Linked DNA regions of Ovis aries. The protein of the gene in region 2 purifies or fractionates together with the protein of the main gene of each other region. This does not show direct contact. Links are inferred from orthologs where the notes say so. Each region holds a gene or a part of one and is shown on either strand. Other genes may lie near its edges.

Region 1 (4,206 bases), on a different chromosome or scaffold from region 2:
ACCCTAGGCTGAGAGATCACTCTTCAGCCACACCGTTCAGGTAAAGAAATTGAAACGATGAAACCAGTTGTGTAAAACACAACCAATCTCTGTACAATACTGCAGATTTACGAAGCAGCTGAACAGCCATAATCTCAACCAAACTTTCTATAGGAAGCAAGGTAGATATGAGCGCCACTCCCATGGAGAAAAGAGTAATCCTAGGTTTTGGAGAGCAAAGTGGTCAGCCTAAGCTCAAACATCATTAAGCAAAAGAACTGGAACAAGAACTGAGGAGAGTGTATGTACAAGAGTGGGGTTAAGGCTGCAGGGAGAGGTGGGGTCAATCAGGGAGAACTAGCTGAGGAGACACAACACAATCTGCACTTGGACACAGGCTGTATCTGTTCACAAAGGCCTTGGAAGATATGACTCCTGTCAACCAGCCAGCCTCACAGACTGTTGCCTCGTGACCCCAACAAAGGCTCTGTGCCCTAGTCATTCAGATATACTAATGGCATCCCAAAGGAGCCCAATAGTCTCAGCCTTTGTGCCTCTGTACCTGCAACTTCCTCCAACTGACACACTCCCCACTCCTTTCTCCCTTTCACCCACTTCCATCTGACCTTTGAACTCAGGTCAAATGATACCTTCTTTGGGTGTTGATCTTGGAGCAATCTGGATTGCCTTGTATCACAGCACTGTTCTGGCTGATTCTGTTGTTAGCTATCTTGCCAAGACCTAAGCTCTGGTGTGGGGGGTTGAGGGAGAATGGGGGCATCTATGTGATGTGATTCATCTTTTCCTGTTACCTGTCACAGGGAGCAGGCAATGGGTAAATGCCTGTGGACTCACAGAATGGACCTGCCAACTTCCGGGAGGAGTTAAGCCAGGCTTCCAAGGTAGAGAATTTCAGACAACTCAAGTGGAAACCATCACCTTCCACATTCACTTGAGTTACCAGATTCCTCTCTCAGCCTGGCTCCTCTAGAAGGCCTGACCTTAAAGTACTGCCATGGAATTATAATCCACGTCACGGTTTTGTGGTCTGTGTTTGTTTGAACTGGAAAACCTTCCACTGTTTATACATTTGGAATCACTTCCAAATGTGACAACCTGAGATTGTTAACCTGGGAGGCAAAATGACAGCCACCACAGTGGAAGAATGCCCAGGGATCAAGAAAGCATAACTGTTAAAAGAGCGTGAGCTCTGGAATCTGGGTCCCAATGTGCCATTTGCCAACTGGGTGACTCTGGGTAAATTACCCACACTACCTCCTGCCTTAAAGTGGGGTGTGTGTAGCCAGCAGGCATAGCAATGCCCCCAAACATCTACTGAGGAGCTACTCTGGGCCAATGGAAACCATGCTTGCATCATGCCAGCCTGTGTTAGTCCCTCCTGAAATACTCTGGAGTACAGGCTTGCCAACCTTCACTAGAAGCTAATCTTTAAGAAAGCAAGGGTCTTGTCTGTCTTGTCCACTCACCCCTCTCAAGTGCCAATCAAATGTCTGCCACACAGTCACTCAGTACATTTGGAAAGAAGGAATGGTCAAATCAGATGAAGACCTTCTTGTCCCCTAGCACTGTGTTTTGGTGAAGAAAGTAGGGAATAATAACTAAAGATGAAGGCACACATTACAAGGGGCTTGGGCTCGCCACAAACATATAGGTGGCCCCCTGGGCTTCCTCGGACTCCAGTTCCAGGCTCTTCTGGGTGGGGAGGGGGAAGATCTGACAGCCCTTCCCCCACCCCCTTCCCTCGGCTGCACAGCTATGAGCCACAGGCACAAGAAAGGCAGAAGAAGGAAAGTTGAGTCCAGTCCCGTTGAAACTTCTGAGGAGGTTTCTATCATTCACTTACTCAACAGGTGCTTATCAAGGACCTAAGGTGTGCGGGGGATAAAGCGGAGACGTGACCAGGTCCTGTCCTCATGGAGCTTCCCTCCCAATGTGGAGGAGACACAGTACTCAAGTGTGTAAAGTGGTCCTCGTACGCAGGACTAAGTTGCCAAGCTGCCAGGAGTGATGCTACAGGGGCGGCCGCTGGTGTCCTGGGCGGGGTGGCGGGGTGGCGGGGTGGCGGGTCGGCGCGGGCCTCCCGGGGAGGCGACCTCTGACCTAGGACCTGAGCCTTCCGGGGACAGGCGGTCGCCGGGGCCCACACTCTGGGCGGAGGCCGCAGACCGGAGAGAAGGGTCACAGCGGCAACTGTGCGAGTGTCTGGAGGGCGAGGCGCGGGAGGCTGTGGAGGAGCAGGCCCTGGACTCCCGCACCCGACCCTCGGGGCCGGGGAGGGGGCGCAGGCGGACTCGCCGTCGGACGGGGGCGGGGCGGGGGCTGCGGCCGGGGGGCCGACGTCACCACCGCGCCGCCGGGCCCTCCGGAGCGCGGGAGGGAGCGCGGGGCGGCGGGCCCGGCCCGCGGCCGAAGATGGCGGGCCTCCGGGCTTACCTCGGAATTTGAGCTCGTGCTGCGGCTCGAGGCTCAGGACCTGCTCCACCTTCGCCATGTTCCTCGGCGGCGGGGCAGCTCGGGCGGGGAGACCCCTGAGAGGTCACCTGGGGCGGGACGCGTGAATGCTGCGCCCCCTTTAAATTTGGAAAGGGGGGGCCTGCCGGGGCGCGGGCGGGGGTCGCCTATGGGTTGCGCGCGGGGGGGGGGGGGGACGGCCTACGCGGTGCAGGCGCAGGGGCGGAGGGCGAGGGTGAGGCCGCGGTGCCCAGCGAGCGTACGACACGCACGCACGCACGGACGCGCCGACGCACGCACGCACACACGCAGCAGGCCGGCCGCCTTAACCCGGCGCGCGCTCGGGAACGGCGGGGAGCAGAGCGCGCGAGCCCCTGCCGAGCAGTGCGCAGGCGCGGCGGTGGCCGTGGGGGCGGGGCTGCCGGGAGGCAGGGGGCGGGGCGTCGCGCAAGTCCGGGGGAGGGGCGGGTCCGGGACACCCAGAATTGAGGACCATCATCCTGAAGATTATTTATTTAGGCAGGGCGCATGGGAGGCAGATTTTGTGTTAAGTGCTTTAGTCAATAATTAATAAAAATGAACTTCCACTTCTCCTTGCTAATGTGCCAGGCACTTAGAGATTTTGAATAATAATGAAGTACGATTTATTCTTATTATAAACATGATGTTTGTGAGTGAATGATGTGTGTTAGACACGGTGACTTGTGGTAAGCAATAAATATAAATTTAGTAAGCTACCAATTATTGCTTGCTTATTTTGTGCCACTCTGCTGAACGCTTCACATAACAACAGCATCGATTATAATAAATAAAAGCTACTCTACTTTAAATGTTTACTATGTAACAAGCACTGTGCTGAATCCTGTACTGCTAAATGCAACAAATATTTAGAAATACAGTGATCAGAAAAAATGACCTGGTTCCTGCTTCTTACTAGGGGCCATAGATGAGACAGCCTTTGAATAAATAACCACCCACTCAAACAAATACACTTTTAAAAATTACTGAGAACCTATATCTGTTTGGTTTTAAAGTGAACACTCTACCTCATTATCTCATTATTGACATTTAAACTTTACTTCATTATGTAGTGTGTACTACCTGAAATATGTGTTAAATATTTTCCTTTTCATATATAAATGAAAATAGCAAATAGCTAACATTGACTCTACATGACAGACATAGAGGTATTCTTTGTACTGTTCTTTGCACTTTCCAATTTGAAATTTTTTGTAATTTTTTAAAAAGGGTTTTTTTAAAATATAATCTTTGTCTTTTAACTACAGCATTTGGTCCATTTATACTTATTATATTTATGATTATATATGGATATATTTCTACCATCTTATTTTGTGCCTTCCGTTGGTCACATTTGTTTTTTTCTTTTTCCTTTCCTTTTTGCATTTTTAGAGCTAATTTTTTTCTCATTCCACTTTTCCTCCTCTTATATACTCTATGCTGTTTCAATGATTACTCTTTACTTGGCTCCCTGAAAATAAAAGGACTTAAGTGTACTTTAATAGCCCATCCTCTAAATTATATGCCTTAATTATACTATATTTTAAGTTTAATCTTTTCCTTTTTCACCCTGTGAGCCATTACTAAGTTATTTTATACAGTCAATATTGATTTGGACTCAACCACACAGTTACCAATTTCTTTGCTCATCTTTTCTTCCTGCATCTCAGAATTTACAATCAGGATCACTTTCCTCATGCCTGAATCTTGAAATTCTGTTTCAGGAAGTTTGTTGGA
Region 2 (3,500 bases):
ATGGTGGGTTATTCATTTACTTTTAAAATCTGAGTGTATTTTTCTTTCCTTATTCTTTCAGTCGTTTCTATTAAAAAAAAAAAGGCCCCAGAAAGCTCATACCATAAAAATATAGATCTATGGCTACAAATGCTCAAGTAACTTCAGGTTACCTTTTCCTCCTTCTAACAGCTTTTTCACAGAAAGCTTCGGGAGCGGCTCAGCCTGCAGTGAAGACACTTTGGAGGTCCGGGTGTTCGTTTTGCTGTGAAGCAGAGTCTGAAGCAGGAGACAGTCCTCCAGCTGTTTCAGGAGGAGTTTCCAGTACTCCGTATCAAGAGAAAGGGCCTCCCAGGAATCAGTGAGGGCTTCCGAGTCAGTTCCTGAAACTGTTTGGGAAAACTAACAGAAAACGCCCAATTGATACTCTGGCTAAGAGTCTGGATCAACATTAACTTGAATGAACTTTTAACGTGAAAGCGGATTGATCATCAGGATACATCACAAAGCGATATATAGATGCTGGTACACAAACATTACTACTTGGCTGGATGGAACATGAAGGTGAGGAGTAGACTGGAGACTTAGGAGCAATGCTGATAGAGTCCAGACATTTATGAAGAGACCTGTAGTGAGGCCCATAATTCAACTGACATGCACTGCAAAGGTTTCAGGCCCATCCCTGCAGCGTTCCCGGATACTGACAGTTCTTCAGAATGTACTAGCCAACATAAAAAATGTATCTTAAATTTCTCTCTCTATTATTAGAAACATCATAAACCAGTCATAATGAATTTAGCCCCAAACTACTGGGACTGACAATGTTGAGTGAATCTCTACAGACCTATTTAAGTATCCTATCCAATTTAATGCAACATCCCCCTAGAAAAAATTATTTGATTCACCATGAGATACAAGGGGCACTAGTCTTGTCTTAAATAAATTTTAGTCTTCAAGAGATGGGGAAAAGCCACAAAGTAAAAGGTCTACTGGAAGCTTTCATCTGAGTCATTCAACACCACGTGCCAAAACCACTCTTGTTTCTAAAAGAAGGATATAAATACAACTGTAGAAACTAAGAGCCGAAAGAAATCGGAGAAACAATGCTGTCTAACCCTGAGCCTTCTGAATGAGGACCTGCCTTCTACAGGCACTCACCACAGACCACCAGCTGCGAACACCAGGTCTCTGCCCTGACTCCAGTGCTTCGCCCCTTATGCTGTGTGGAGACTAGGTTCAAGTTATCTGAATAAACAGCTAAAGAAGAACCCCTCATCTTCAAGAGACGTCGACAAGATTCTGCTGGACACATATCTCAAATCCTAGATGTTCCACACACTGAAGACAATGCAGCCCAGAAGGGGAAAGCGGTCGGGGAGCCCGCTGGAGGGGAGCCCCCCTAGAACCGCCCCCCTGCCCACTCACTTTCTTCTCAGTCAAGCTGTTGGATATCTGGGCAGCGACAGCATGCCCAACGTGTGCGGATAGCAGCGCAGCCCCGTTGTTCTCGGACTGAATACAGACCGTGCGCATCTGCTGCCACCAAGGGGACACTGACTGGGAATCCCAGGTCTCTTCGATGGCCACTACAGGCAAATGGCAAAAAAAGAAACTCTTAGCTTGGCAATTTTTTTCTTTTAATCTTTGATGTTAAATATAATGTTAGAACCAAGTTTCCCATTGATGCGTGTGTGTATTTTTTAATGAACTGGAAAAGAAGTCTTTATTTTATTCAGAAGACTTATATTTCACTTATTTATGCTCTTAGGCATCTTGCTCTGAATCGATTGTAAATCTCTTTCATCACTGATGAAAACTACTACTGAATGTTTTAATATAACAGATTATTGCTCTCATCATGCCAAAAACAGTAAGAAAAATATTACCTCCACCACAGACCATTCAATTCACCTCAATGAACTCAGAAAACATACTGTTCACTATCATTTCTCATGTTGATGCAAAATGTTAATTAAATTTCATAAAGCACACTTTGAATGTATTAAGAGTTTTCTATGACTACATAAAAGATTCTCTCTAGTGAAATGTTTTGTACCTTCTAGTCTCCTTTTGTTATGAGGAAGTATTCTCTCTCCTCGTTTTTGTGGAATTTCAACACTGAACATTATTTCTGGGAGTGGAGACCACATTCCCGAGGAGCCAAACCTCAGCATCCACAGTGCTCACCTTTCATCTTGCTCAGGAGGTACAGCATCATATGGAGACAGCAGACAGACTGCGGTTTGTCCAAAATATCTTTTTCCTTAGAAAGCCAAACGCTCAGAAGCAGAGACTGAAATCAGATTTAAATCTTTATTGTAAAAAAAATATTTACCATAAACAAAATCTTGTACAATTTTAGACCATATGTGTATTCATGAGTGGTTCAGCCTTTCTGGTCGGGAGGTAAGTGCTTGCTTGTTACATGACGTAGTGTGAGAAGGAGAACAAGGAGACAAGGTAGCTTGTCTACCTTAAGAGATTCCTTATTTGTTGGGGATCAAAATCTCCCCATTTCCACCACTTCTTTAGGTTCAGTACTACCCTTCAGTGCAAGCTTCTATTAAAGAGCAAATCGGCAGAGAGGGTACTGCCAGTGAGCATGGATTACAGAAGGCTGGCCGCAGGTTATGACACGAGGGCCTGGAGCTATGGCTCTAGCCCTGGCCTTGGTCATGCAAAGAAACTGGGGACTTGGCAGTGGTTGGTGAGTACATAATACTATCAAACTCTAATCTTCAAGTCACCGAGTCATGAGAAACAGATTTTAAAAGCATTTAAATCAACAGAATGATTTTTAAAAATAAGCGTATCTACTTAAAATTTTTAAAATCTGGGCTCATAAAATTTGTACACAGATAATTCCGGGGTAATGAAAACGTAAAAGGCATAGTGTCACATCTGTTAAGTGCTGGTGTGTGTGAAAGGTTTTGATTGCCTATAATTCTGCAATGTCTTTATGTTAAAAAAAAAGCTCTAATGAAATGAAAGCTTGACTATCAGTTTAAACACATTAGTACATACAATTTTCAAAATTAAGAAGAGCAGGAAGCTGAAGGAGAAGTGTGTGAAGGAAATTAACTCAGGAGAATAACCCAAGGCAGATAAGTACCCAACAAGCGCATCTTCCCATTCGATAACAACCACCTCTTGGGGCAGGGCTGACTATTGGGGTTTTACAAACGATAAGAAGGAAAAATAACTTAGTTACTAACTTAGAACTAAAGTTTGAACCTAGATTTGCCTGATTGTATTAATATAAAAATGTACAACACACTTTTTCTCCCCTTTTTGGTTTAACTTGGCTCTTTTTTAACCTTTTCACATCTCTCCCTTCATTAGCCTCCTTTATACTTCATCCTATCCATACTTTTCATTTTTTTAAAACTGGGTATGTCCTTTCATCGGAGAAGGCAATGGCACCCCACTCCAGTACTCTTGCCTGGAAAGTCCCATGGACGGAGGAGGAGCCTGGTAGGCTGCAGTCCATGGGGTCGCTAAGAGTCAGACACGACTGAGCA

What was found. Proteins that work in one complex are often made in the same cells at the same time.
Region 1: the proteins of RAB3GAP2 (region 2) and VAPB purify together in Homo sapiens (affinity purification with mass spectrometry; 4 studies listed by BioGRID and IntAct, counting the BioPlex papers as one, with this or other methods). This does not show direct contact. The link is inferred for Ovis aries from reciprocal best matches to the Homo sapiens genes RAB3GAP2 and VAPB.

What each region holds. Positions count from the first base shown.
Region 1 is NC_056066.1:57,651,537-57,655,742, forward strand, and holds the start of VAPB (vesicle-associated membrane protein-associated protein B/C), read right to left. Parts: upstream 2,801-4,206; 5' UTR 2,492-2,800; coding exon 2,434-2,491; intron 1-2,433. UniProt on the Homo sapiens protein: Endoplasmic reticulum (ER)-anchored protein that mediates the formation of contact sites between the ER and endosomes via interaction with FFAT motif-containing proteins such as STARD3 or WDR44.
Region 2 is NC_056065.1:22,885,699-22,889,198, forward strand, and holds part of RAB3GAP2 (rab3 GTPase-activating protein non-catalytic subunit), read right to left. Parts: intron 2,273-3,500; coding exon 2,167-2,272; intron 1,566-2,166; coding exon 1,405-1,565; intron 382-1,404; coding exon 153-381; intron 1-152. UniProt on the Homo sapiens protein: Regulatory subunit of the Rab3 GTPase-activating (Rab3GAP) complex composed of RAB3GAP1 and RAB3GAP2, which has GTPase-activating protein (GAP) activity towards various Rab3 subfamily members (RAB3A, RAB3B, RAB3C and RAB3D), RAB5A and RAB43, and guanine nucleotide exchange factor (GEF) activity towards RAB18.